3 linked regions of the Rattus norvegicus genome follow. The protein of the gene in region 3 purifies or fractionates together with the protein of the main gene of each other region. This does not show direct contact. Links are inferred from orthologs where the notes say so. Each region holds a gene or a part of one and is shown on either strand. Other genes may lie near its edges.

Region 1 (4,183 bases), on a different chromosome or scaffold from region 3:
GGTGGGCATTCAATCCCCCTAGGGCCGTAAAAACAACCAGAATAATGGAAGAGTGGCTTGTTAACCTGGCTGTGTGGTCCTGAGACAGACTGACTGTGCTCGGCTCGTAAGCTCTTCATACAGGCCCCATCTCTGCTTTAAGACAATTCCCGTGGGCGATTCTCATAGCTCCATCTGGACTCTGGGCCTGATAAAGGTCGGCGGCAGCCACGATGCCCAAGCGGGCTTTGTCGCCCCCTGGCGGCCTCTCAGGAAACGTTTCTTCCACAGCGGAGCGCTATGCTTAGGCTTGGTTAAGGTTTGGAGTGGTTTTGGTTTTTTTGTTGTTCCCCCCAACACACACACTACCCTCCGCAAAACGGTATCCCAGCAACGGGAAAGTAGAGACAGAACGATCTTGAATTTAAGGATAGCTTGGGCTTTAAAAAAAATGAATGAAATTAGAAAACAAAAAACAAAGTCAGGCCTGGTGGCTCATGACTGTAATCACAGAACTTGTAAGGCTGTGCCGGTCTGGACCACATAATGAACTCTTCTAGAATTAACAACACAACACAACACAAACGATAAGCAAAAACAAACAAACAAAAAATTACACAGGCGCCTTTAATCCCAGCAGACACAGGCAGCCAGCCTGGTCTACAGAGTGAGTTCCAGGACAGCTACGGATACACAGGGAAACCCTGTTTTGAAGAAAAAAAAAAAAAACCCAAACCAGTCAATCAATAACAACAACAACAACTATAACAGAAAGTAGTAAAATGTATAGTGTGAGAAGGATTACATTACTGAACACCTAGTGGTGGGCACCGGGTCACACATAGAAAACAGGCAAAGTCCTGTTGATACTGTAGGTGTAGGTGATTGAACAAGCTATACAGACACATGAACAGACGGATGCCCTGGTGGGTGGGTGGATGCGTGGGTGGGTTAGTAGATGTTGATGTGAATGTGTATATGTATGTGGGAGGGGGTGAGGGATGGATAGCTGACTGGAATGGGAGTGTGGGTGGAGACGGGGTGGGCGGATAAGAGGATGAATGAATAGACGTACGGTGGGCGAGGGGGGCGGTGGGTGAGTTGAAGGATCAATGGATAAATGTCCTGGAGTTTCACCATCCACCCAGGCATTCCTGATCCCCAAAGAAACGTGGGTTAGGGCTGCAGTCGCACCTCTGTTCTGCCTTTCCTAGCTCTTGGAGCAGCCTTGGCATTTGCTGCCGACCGTGCCGCTCACCTGGCGGCCTCCCCTTTAAGACGCATTCACCTGGCGGCCTCCCCTTTAAGACGCGCTCACCTGGCGGCTCACCTGGGCGAAGGCGCTTCCGCAGGAAGAAGGAAGCAGCAGCGCTGCCGCCTCTGCAGCTCGCTCTCGCCTCCTAGCTTCACCGGGCGCCACCATGTCGGCCTCGGCAGTCTTCATTCTGGACGTCAAGGGCAAGGTGAGGCAGAGGGCAAGGGATCGTGGTTCGACGGGCGAGCACGAGGGCCCAGGGCACAGGACCGGGAGCTGGGGACCCGCCCTCTTCAGCCGGCATCTGTGGCAAGGGGTTTCACCTCTCTGAGCGTCATTTCTCCTGTTTGTAAAAATGAGAATAAGAAAGATATCCACCATCTGAGCGCCCTGAACCAGTGAGCACAGCCCTTCTGCAACTCCGGAGTTCAATAAATGGGCCAAGTGTAACTCTGGAGTAGAAGGCCATACCCCTATCCTTGCAAGTCGACTGTCGCTTCTCCTGTGACAATGACAGCAGTAGAGATGAAAACGAGATCCCTGTAACATAATGACACAAGGTCGTGTGCCTCAGTTGTCAGCCAGCTGGCCTAGCACACAGACCTAGGTGTGATCCCAGTGCACTGCATAAACAGTCCCAATTCCAGCTCTTGGGAGGTGGAGGCAGAGGGATCAGGAAATCAAGGGAGTTTGAATCGGGCCTGAGCTACGTGACACTCACTGCCTCAAAACCAAAACAGGCTCAACAAGCCCAGACACTGGCTGTGTAAGTCTGGTAACCTGACCCAAACCCAAGTAAAGGGGAATGGAGACAACCTACAAAGTTGTCCTCTGACCACACCCACACAGACACACACAAACACACAGACACACAGACACACACAAACACACAGACACAGACACACACGCACATGCACACACTCCATACACACAAAAAATAGTGCCTGTAAAAAGATCCAAGAAGGACAAGGAGGCCAGGTGTTTTACCATGCACCTGTCACTCTAGCTACTGTGGAAGCTGAGTCAGAGAGATGACCTGAGCTCAGGAGGGCAAGGCCAGCCTGGGCTACAATAGCAAGACAAAGAAATAAATAACCTTGAACAAGAACGGCCCAGGAGGGGAAGAGGTTCAGGTCCACCTCTCAGCTTTTTGTGGACATAGTTTTAAACCTCAGCTTCTTCAGTCTGGAAAATGGACCCAAAGACACCTACCTCAAGGCTGAGGCAGGCACTGAATTCCTCAGGAAAGGTTCTTCCTCCTCTTCCTCCTCAGTGGTGGGGGCGGAACCCAAGCTAAGCCAGCATACTGCCACTAAATTACGTCTTAAAGATTTTATTTATTTATTTATTTATTTATTTATTTATTTATTTATTTATTTAATGTATACCTAACTGTCTGTAGACACACCAGATCCCAATACAGATGACTGTGTGCCACCATGTGGTTGCTGGGATTTGAACTCAGGACCTCTGGAAGAGCAGTTGGTGATCTTAACCACTGAACCATCCCTCCAGCCCAACTAAATTACATCTTAATCCTCCTCATACTATTTAAAAATTACACTTATTTGCTCTGCCTGTGTGAGAGTCTGTTCTGTCCTATCCCCACGTGTGTGGCTTGGACCTCTGGCCACCAGGCTCGGCAGCGAGACCCTTCAACCACTGAGAACCCCTGAGTTCTCTTGCGGTCCCTCCTGTGCGGTTTAAATTTGAAATGGTATCTGGTTGAATTCCCCAGGCTGGCTTCAGATTCACTCTGGAGCTTTGCTAGGCTTTGGACCTGCTATCCTTTTGCCTCAAGCTTCCCTGCTAACTCTGACGACAGGCCCTTGGTAAGAAAGACAAGGCCCAGCACGTCCACTGATTGATGTCGGAAGGACCTCATACGCAGTAGGATGGTCCTCTACTGCTGAGCCCATGTTCCTTATTTTTCATTTATTTATTTTTTTGTCAGAACCTCATGTAGTTTAGGTTGGCTTTGCACTTACTATGTAGCCGAGGATGGCCTTGTACTTCCGCCTCTACCCCCCAAGCCCATCCCCAGCATAACACGTACTGGCAGAATGTTGATGGTGTTCAGTATGCACCCAGGACACTTTTAGCTGTGGGTGTCAGGTACCTACATAACAGGCATGAAAACCGAGGCGTACAGAGGTAGAGTCCTAGCTAGGCCCCTCACTGAATTGCACACAGAGTGTGATATGGTGACAAACACTGTGACCCCAGCACTCTAGAAACCGAGGCAGGAGGATTGAGAAGTTGAGACCAGCTGGGGCTTCGTAGAAAAGGTGCCTAAATTAATCAGAAAAGGAAAGACAGTCGGGGAGGTAATTTACTCCTAGAGGGTTTGTAACATTAGCTCTCGCCAGGATGGAAGCAGGGGGATCAAGAGTTCAAGGTCGGGGCTGGGGATTTAGCTCAGTGGTAGAGCGCTTACCTAGGAAGCGCAAGGCCCTGGGTTCGGTCCCCAGCTCCGGAAAAAAAAGAACCAAAAAAAAAAAAAAAAAAAAAAAAGAGTTCAAGGTCATCCTCTGTGACATCTGGTGTCAAGGGCAGCCTATGCTACCTGAGGTATCATCCCCTCCATAAAACAAAAGAGGCCAGTGTGGGGGGCATAAAAGAAAGTTAGAAGAGAATTAGACATCCTAAGGCCCTAGGTCTGTGCGCTGGTGGTGACTTAGTCCTGTCTCTCTCCCCTTAGCCTCTGATTAGCCGAAACTACAAAGGCGATGTGCCCATGACGGAGATTGACCACTTCATGCCTCTGCTTATGCAACGGGAGGAGGAGGGTATGCTGGCCCCGCTGCTGAGCCACGGCCGAGTGCACTTCTTGTGGATCAAACACAGCAATCTCTACTGCATCCTCATTGTGGGAAGGAGCGCCAGGAACCTGATTCAGAGGGCGGTGACCTAAGAGCAGGATTTGCCCGGTTCATGTGCCTTAACTCA
Region 2 (4,238 bases), on a different chromosome or scaffold from region 3:
TTAGGCGCTACCCAGGTCCACCCGGATGAACTACAAAGGCAGCATGACCCACAGAGCGCAGCCTGTTCACAACCAGGGAGGGTCCAGAAGAACAGAAAACAGCTGAGTCAACAGACTAGAGAGGGGTTTTAAGGGGATCTAGGGAAGGCTCTCAGTATGAGAAGGATTTGAAAGCAAGATTTAGATGGATTAGTACCACCGAGCACACACTAACCACACCCACAGGAGATAGTGCTCCCTCCTGAAAGGAAGAATCAACCTGACCAGGCAAAAGCACTCATCTTCAGCCACCAGACCAGACCTACAGGGAGCAGGAAGGGCAGGAGTTCCTAACCCTAGGGGGTGGAGGTGTCATCCCCAGGCCCTGAGCCTAGCAGCTGGGCCGATGCCCAATGGAACCAGGCTATATTGCATGCTCAGGCTGAGGCGATGGGGGGGCTGGGGCACAGCGTGCTCAGGCAGGGGACTTACCCGATGTCATCTCTGTAGACTCGGGAGATAAGCACCTCCCCCTTGTGATTATAGATGAATAAGCCTCCGATCATGGCGGCAGCTCAGTCTCTGTGACCCATTGCTCTGAGAACAGACCTAGGTAGGAAAGGTGGGGATAGGGAATGGGGAAATCTTTAGATCCCTTGCCCATCTCAGCGGGGCTGTACAGGGCTGCCTTTTTTCCTGACTCAGTCCTCTAGCAAGTGACCCTGCAGCCCTCCCAAGGAAGCCCCGCCTGCACGCACAGCGAGGCTCCAGTTCCTGTTTATTCCACACTGGATAGGAGACAGTACTTTAAGTGTGGGGCCCAGGGTTAAGGCCATTTTACTCAGTCTTTTCTGAGGGCTGAGCTTGAAAGTAACCACCCCCCCACCCCCACTCGCACCCCTCCCCGTCGTCTTCACAATGCTGAGCTCAGCTAAGATTCTTTTCAAACCCCTGCTGTGCAGACTCTCACTCCCCGCAACTTCAGTGAGTCAGAGAAAAGCTTGCCCGCGGATGCAGGAATGGCGGTAGGGATTAGGCGGTAGGAGTTAGCTTGTGCCCGCCACCAGGCATAACTTTTAGAGCAAGCACTATTCTTCCAAGAAGGCAGCAGAGCATGACCGTCTACAAGGCTACACATTCCAGGAAAGGGTGTGCAGAGTGAGGTGGGGGTGGGAGAAGAGGCCCTTAGGCTCTAACACAAACCCAGGAATGTGGCTGAAGCAGGCTCGTCTTCCCCAGGCAGTGAGATAAGCAGGCAAAGGAACAGAGAGGCCCAGGGCGAACAAACCACGCTCCAATGCTCCCAAGTTCTTCTTAGAAAGATTTCATTTTTACCTTCACATAGGTATGCCAATGTGTGTGCTGTGTGTGTGGAAGTCTAGACGTCAGGTGGAGCCCTGCCCTCCATCCCACAAGCCTGAGTTACAGGCAGTACTGAACCAAACGACATGGGCTGAGACCTGAACTCAGGTCTTCTGGAAGAACAGTAAGGACTCTGAAATGCCAAGTCCCTCTTTCCTTTCTTTTCTTTCTTTCTTTCTTTCTTTCTTTCTTTCTTTCTTTCTTTCTTTCTTTCTTTTTGAGCCCCCTTTACAATTATTTCTGGTCACTGTCTTATCAAAATTTCAAAATGTGACAAAAATTAGGTCTGTATGTAGCATTAATCCTGCTAAATTGTGACTCCAGAGCTGCCAAGTCAGTCACTTCTGGCCTGGTGTTTACTAAGCAATGGGCAAGGTAACAGAATGTCTCAACTGCCCAAATTCATTTGGGTCAAAATTAATTTAGAATATTTAAGAAAATAGGTTAATCTGGTTCTAGATTTTTCTGGATTAACCCTGGTATTAATTTCACTGATGTTAGTCTAACAAGACTTTCTGAAACTGAAAAGTTAACCCTTGAAACCCAGTCACAAGTCAACTAAGGTAGTGGACACACTTGTCTCACAGTTCAAAGAAGGTGAGAAAGAAAATGCAAAATGGAGGTTGTCCCCTGAGCAAAGGACCAAGTCCACAGGTATCAGCCGAGGGTGGGAGTGGTGGTGGAGGTGGAGGTGGCTGTGGTTGTGGTGTGTGTGTGTGTGTGTGTGTGTGTGTGTGTGTGTGTGTGTGTGTGTTGTGTCCTGGACAGAAATGGAATATTTAGTTAAGGGACCGATTAGCTGTAATTGCTAGCAATAGACCAGGATGACCCCACAGCAGCAAATACAGCTGTGGGAGTCCCTCAAGTTCTCCTATGACAAAGGTCATAGGAGCTTTGGAGGAGCAAAACAAGGCGAAAAGATAGACAGTAGAAAAAGAGAAAGCTGAGAGATAGGGCCTACTCTTCTTTTAGTGAAGCATGAGGGGTTGGTGGAGTTTTTCTCAGCAGAGGGGGGAGACATCTAGGCCGAGGAGATGTCACCAAGGGATGCGGGGGCTGTCATAGGTCTGAGGTAGAAGAGCAGTGGGGGGTAAACCAGGAGGAAGGAATCTCTCAGTGTTCCAGAGAGACCTGTCACTGTCCAAGGGAGTGGCACCAGGGGATGTCAATGTCCTGGGGGATGGGAGAATGGGAAACCTCGGGGTTGAGCGGTTGTCAGGATTCTAGGGATGGGGCGCCGCGCGGGGTCCCCGGCTCTAGGATTCCGGCCCGAGTCTCCTCCCGGAGACGCCCAGCGGGTTACTGGAGGGCGTCGTTCCCCGCCCTTGCTGCAATCGCGCCCAAGGCACCCCCGCCCGGTCGTCTGCTCCCTCCCGGGTCTGGAGGCTGAGGCCACTCCCGGGTGCGGGCAGTTTTCCACCCAGCACAGTGCGGGGCAGGGCAGGTGACCACGGCACCCTCGCCGCCCGGTAAGGATCTCTAAGTCAAGCTTCCCAGCTCACCTGGAGTCAGCAGCCCCCACAAGGCAGGCCTGGCCACTCTCGGATCCCAAGATGTCCGCCCGCCCCCAGCTCGCCTGTCTGCTGCCTCCGCTTTCACTGCAGTGCTCCCGCCCCGCCCCGCCCCGCCCGCAGCTGCGCCTGCGCGCTCACCTCCAGCGGCGACTACAAGTCCCGTCAGTCTCCGAAGCTTTCAAGCTGACACATCCGAGTGCCCTAAGTCTAGCAAAACTACAACTACCGACAGCCTTCGAGACAGAGTCGACGTCGGCCTCAGTGCGTCTTGCTGGCAACACGGGTCATGGTACGCTCCACAGACTATTTGCTTCACTGAGAATCACGGGAAGTGTAGTCTCTGTAATCCTTCTCGTTCCTAGTTAGAGGAGGTAGGCTTTAAGAGACCAAAGCTGTTTGTTGAAACCAATTGTAAATTTTGAATTATTAGATTTTTATTGTCTCCAGATTTCGAAGAGTGGCTATATTCACTTTACAAACACAACTTGCATAAGCCCGTTACTGCTGAATTTATTGCTTTTTAACACATTTGATTCTCCCGAGGTTTTATATATATTCCAGGATAGGACTGAGCCCTTTCTCAGGGATAATTATCCAAACAGAAAGGCTGGGAAGGAAAGCACTAATTCTTGGTAAAACATTAGTGTTTTTCTCAGCAAAATCTGTGACTGTGGTGTGCTGGTGACATATGCCGTTAATTCCAGAGCTCTGAAGGCAGAGGCAAGAGCATCTCTGTGAATTTGAGGCCAGCCTGGTCTAAATAGGGAGTTTCAAGACATCCCAGGCTACAAAAGGGAGCCTGTTTGTCCACCACTCCAGTTTAGTTGGGCATGGGATTTTAAAATCCCATTTCTCATCTGGGCAGTGGTGGCACATGCTTTTAATCTCAGCACTCAGGAGGCAGAGGCAGAGGCAGAGGCAGGCAGATCTCTGAATTCAAGGCCAGCCTGGTCTATAGATCGAGTTCTAGGACAGCCAGGGATATACAGAGAAACCCTGTCTCAACCTTAAAAAAAAAAAAAAAAGATTTCTTATGATATCCAAACTGAGAATGAGGCAGAACCAACCCGAACACAAACGGCTGTCTGATTTTTGCCAAATCTAGAAAAGTTGGTTTTTCTCTCAGTGGACAGAGACATCTGTTGCCTAAACAGGCCAGAGACTTCTATGGCAGAAAGGAAGGGGTGGGTGTTCAAATCTGGTTGCTAACCCTACTATTCCTAGCAACCTCCTTCCAGAAGCCAAAACCCAGAAACTTGTAACCTTTGAAGGCTTCATGTCTATCTTCACAAAAGCTTTCTCTTCCCAACATACCCTAAAAGTTTAGAGTAAATTAGTGATAACAACAACAACAACATAGAAATAGAAATAGTAATAATAATA
Region 3 (3,646 bases):
AGGAGAAACCTATAAACAAAACAAAATGGTGTTTTAAGGGTTAATTTTCCAAAATGAACCATTTTCTTAAAAAAAAAAAAAGAAGAAGAAGAAGAAAGAAAAGAAAGGAAAGGAAAGGAAAGGAAGGAAGGAAGGAAGAAAAGGCAGGAGGGGGGACTGGAAAATGGCACAATGTTAACAGCTCTGGCTCCTGCTATTCCAAAGGATTTGGGTTCAGTTCCCAGCACCCTGTGGTAGCTGCAAGCATCCGTACATCAAGTTTTAGGGATCTGACACCCACTGTGCCTTCCAAAGACACCAGATACTAAAAATCATGGACAAAAGCCTAAAACTGTATTTGCACAGGCTCAGAGTGTCTCCTCCCAAGAATTTTAATTACAAAGGGAAAGACAATAAATTACACAGCTCTAAAGACACCACATATTGGGCTGGAAGAGATGGCTGAGTGATTAATAGCTTGGTGCTCTTGTAAAGGACCTGGATTCCATCCCTGGCACCCACATGATAGCTCACAATCATCCATAACTCCAGGTCCAGGGGATCCAATGCCCTCTTCCAAACTCTGTAGGAACCAGGAATACATAGGGATTCACATGGAGCACGTACATATGTGCAGGCAGACACTCATCCACATAAAAAGTAAAATAAATGTGCAGCTTGTCTTCATGTGGGTCCCCTAACAAGTGGTGCGGGGCTTTCTCAGGTTCTGTTCCCTGCCACTGGGTGGTACTCAAGGGGAGTAATGGGGGGGGGGGTTGTAAGGGTGGGACTGGGAAGGGGGGGCTGTGATCAGGATATAACATGAATAAAAACAAATTATTGAAAAGCAAACAAATGAATCTGGGCGGCACACCCAGCTGACATCACAGCACTAAGAAAACTGTGCTGCCTGGCATGCTCTACTGCAAAGGAGTTATCAATGTATGGACGTTTGCCAAGAAATGTATAACTTTAATCTATAAAATTATGAAAAAAAAAAATCAGACAGACCAAATTGAGTTACATTCTACAAAACAACTGATCAATATTTCTAAAGTGTCAAAATCTTGAAAGATAAAGAGAAACTAAGAAACTAACAGACAGGAGACTAACAAGAAGTGACAATTAAATGTCATGTAGGCTCATGCTGTAACAGAAAATAAATACTACCTGGAAACTTAGAAAATCTAAATGAAATCTACAATTCAGGTTAATTCCCTGGTCTTCATAAGATGTATAAGTCTGTAAGACACTGCTCTGGGAAAGCCGGGCAAGGGAATGCACAGCATATACGAAAGTTCAGAAGACATGCTGATAGCCTTCCAGAGATCCAAACTTGGTTCCCAGCACCTATATTAGGCTGCTCAAGCCATGTGTAATTCCAGGTCTGGGGAATCCAACATCCTTTTCTGGTCTCCATGGATGCTGCTCTTACCACAAGCACAGGCATACACACAATTAATTTAAAAAAAAATCTAAAATTGTTTCAACATTAAATGACAGTAGAAAAAAAGGCTAGATGTGGTGGAGCAAACCTATGACCCCAGAACTGGGAGGCTAAAGCACAAGAATCAACAAATTGAGGCCAACCCACCCTAGAGAAGATTCCAGGCCGGCCCCATCTATATTATGTAGCAAGATGCTGTTCCAATATAGGCAAAGCATCACAAAATAGTGTTTTCCTGTGGAAGAGGAAACGATACGAAAGCTACAGAGCTAACATTTTCCTCTCAGTACGATTTCGAGGCTACCTGAGTTTCGTGCTCTATAGGTTTATTGCTTAAATAAATTTATTTAACTACTGCATCTGTGCCTTGTTTAGAGTGATAGGTACAATTCAGGTTGTGTCTAGTAAAAGCTTACTCTGAAAGACTTCCTTCACACAGGAATATAGCTGTATCCCCTCCTCAGTCCTTCCAGGCTTTAGTGTTTTCGTCAAGGTTAAAGCACACATAAAGTCACAATGGCATGCTTTGGTACGAGAGTCCTTCCTAAAGTTCCAAATGGAATCTGTTTCAAAGTACTGAAGCCCAGTTCAATCACTTTAAGTAAAATGTTTAGAGGAAAGAGAAGATTCAAAAAGACTTACACGCAATCCACTCTCTGATTTAATATCCATGATAGTCAAAACCGTTTCATACAGAATAGCATTCCCTACATTCTTACTGGTCTCTGTATTAGTGGCGACCTGAAAAACAGACAGCAGTGCATAAGTGGGAAAGCAACACTTTCCAAACTACCAAGTGCAAGGAGACAACTCAGTAACTCACTAAGGAGAAGCAGAACTATTCGCCCAGATACTCTCTTCTACTCTCTGCTGGATGAAAATGAAACTTCAATGATTTCAAGTTGGATCAACTCACCTGTGCTAATATATCATTCATAGCTTCGCTTGAATCATCATCATTCCGTCCTAAAATTCTTAATAACCGCAAAATTCGTACCTAACATGCAGGATACAAAAGGTCAACAAGTTATGTCTGACTCAATCTCATTCAGAATGAAACTCAAACATTTCAAGTGAAGTTAGACGCCATCAGGAGAAATTTCAACATTGTTTTAAAGAGGCCATGCACATGTCTACATCAATGAAGTCATAAGATAACCCACACTTCACAGTAAATTTTACATTTACAGTGTCACTTCACTAATTCAATACAATACTTATTTGGCCCTAGTTCACTTATTAATATAATTAGTATATTATCAGTCTGTACCCTATATAAACTTAAGATGAAGGAAACAATCTCTTCAAAGCATTGCATTCACATGGCATTTATCCAAAATGTTTTTCAAACTCACCTGCAAAAAGGGGTCACTGATACCAGAAACATCATGTTCTGGGGAATATCCGGACATGATGAGGTTCTTTAGAATACGAACTAATTGGGGCACAAGCTGCAGGGAAAAAAAAAAAAAAAAAAAGGTGCATTAAAACAACCATAATAAAATAGTGACTCTATCAGCCTATCTCTTCAATAAGCAGGTTCTTTGGTTTAGAAAATGATGCAAGGGTCTGAGTCCAAGAAATTTCTTCTGCTGTAAATACAGTAATGCAAATGGCTGAAGTATTAACTCAGATACTAAGGCCAAAACCTATCCGGTAATAGGCACTTCAACAGCATGAAAACAAGCCAAAACTTTTTTTCTCCAGAGTTCAATATGTAAAGACACTAGAATCACAGTGGGCCGAGAGCCGATGGGAACCAAATAAAAGAGGTCTGTGGGAAATACTGCAGCTCTACTTGGTAGAACTTGAAACTCTTGGGTAGCAAGAATCATTTCCTTTTTATCCATCCTAATAAAGTCATATAAAGCATTAACCAATGATCTTATTAAAATATAAAGCATATCACACTTCAAATAGAAAACGGTCTCTCCTCTGAAGATAGGTTTAATTATATATCCTTTCCCAGAAAGCAGCAGGAAACACCAGTGACCAGCATGAGCCAAACGGAGGTGATAGATGAAGAAAGTACACCTGCGACCCTGGTGCCCTGCCCTTCACTCAGAGACATCTGCCAGATTAGTGCCAGTACTCACTCATGTCCTCCAACTGCACCAAGAGACTATACATATCCTAGTCAAGAATTCCTCTGACCTTCCTTTTCCAAGTCCATGTCAATTATTACTGTCAACCTAGTTACAGATGCTTGCAAATAAACGA

What was found.
Region 1: the proteins of Ap1g1 (region 3) and Ap1m2 purify together in Homo sapiens (affinity purification with mass spectrometry; 4 studies listed by BioGRID and IntAct, counting the BioPlex papers as one, with this or other methods). This does not show direct contact. The link is inferred for Rattus norvegicus from reciprocal best matches to the Homo sapiens genes AP1G1 and AP1M2.
Region 2: the proteins of Ap1g1 (region 3) and Ap2m1 purify together in Homo sapiens (affinity purification with mass spectrometry; 3 studies listed by BioGRID and IntAct, counting the BioPlex papers as one, with this or other methods). This does not show direct contact. The link is inferred for Rattus norvegicus from reciprocal best matches to the Homo sapiens genes AP1G1 and AP2M1.

Annotation. Positions count from the first base shown.
Region 1 is NC_086026.1:28,129,827-28,134,009, reverse strand, and holds the start of Ap1m2 (AP-1 complex subunit mu-2), read left to right. Parts: upstream 1-1,367; 5' UTR 1,368-1,400; coding exon 1,401-1,442; intron 1,443-3,935; coding exon 3,936-4,092; intron 4,093-4,183. UniProt on the Homo sapiens protein: Subunit of clathrin-associated adaptor protein complex 1 that plays a role in protein sorting in the trans-Golgi network (TGN) and endosomes.
Region 2 is NC_086029.1:93,865,610-93,869,847, forward strand, and holds the start of Ap2m1 (AP-2 complex subunit mu), read right to left. Parts: upstream 2,872-4,238; 5' UTR 2,844-2,871; intron 589-2,843; 5' UTR 546-588; coding exon 472-545; intron 1-471.
Region 3 is NC_086037.1:54,709,502-54,713,147, reverse strand, and holds part of Ap1g1 (AP-1 complex subunit gamma-1), read right to left. Parts: intron 2,878-3,646; coding exon 2,782-2,877; intron 2,424-2,781; coding exon 2,343-2,423; intron 2,168-2,342; coding exon 2,069-2,167; intron 1-2,068. UniProt on the Homo sapiens protein: Subunit of clathrin-associated adaptor protein complex 1 that plays a role in protein sorting in the late-Golgi/trans-Golgi network (TGN) and/or endosomes.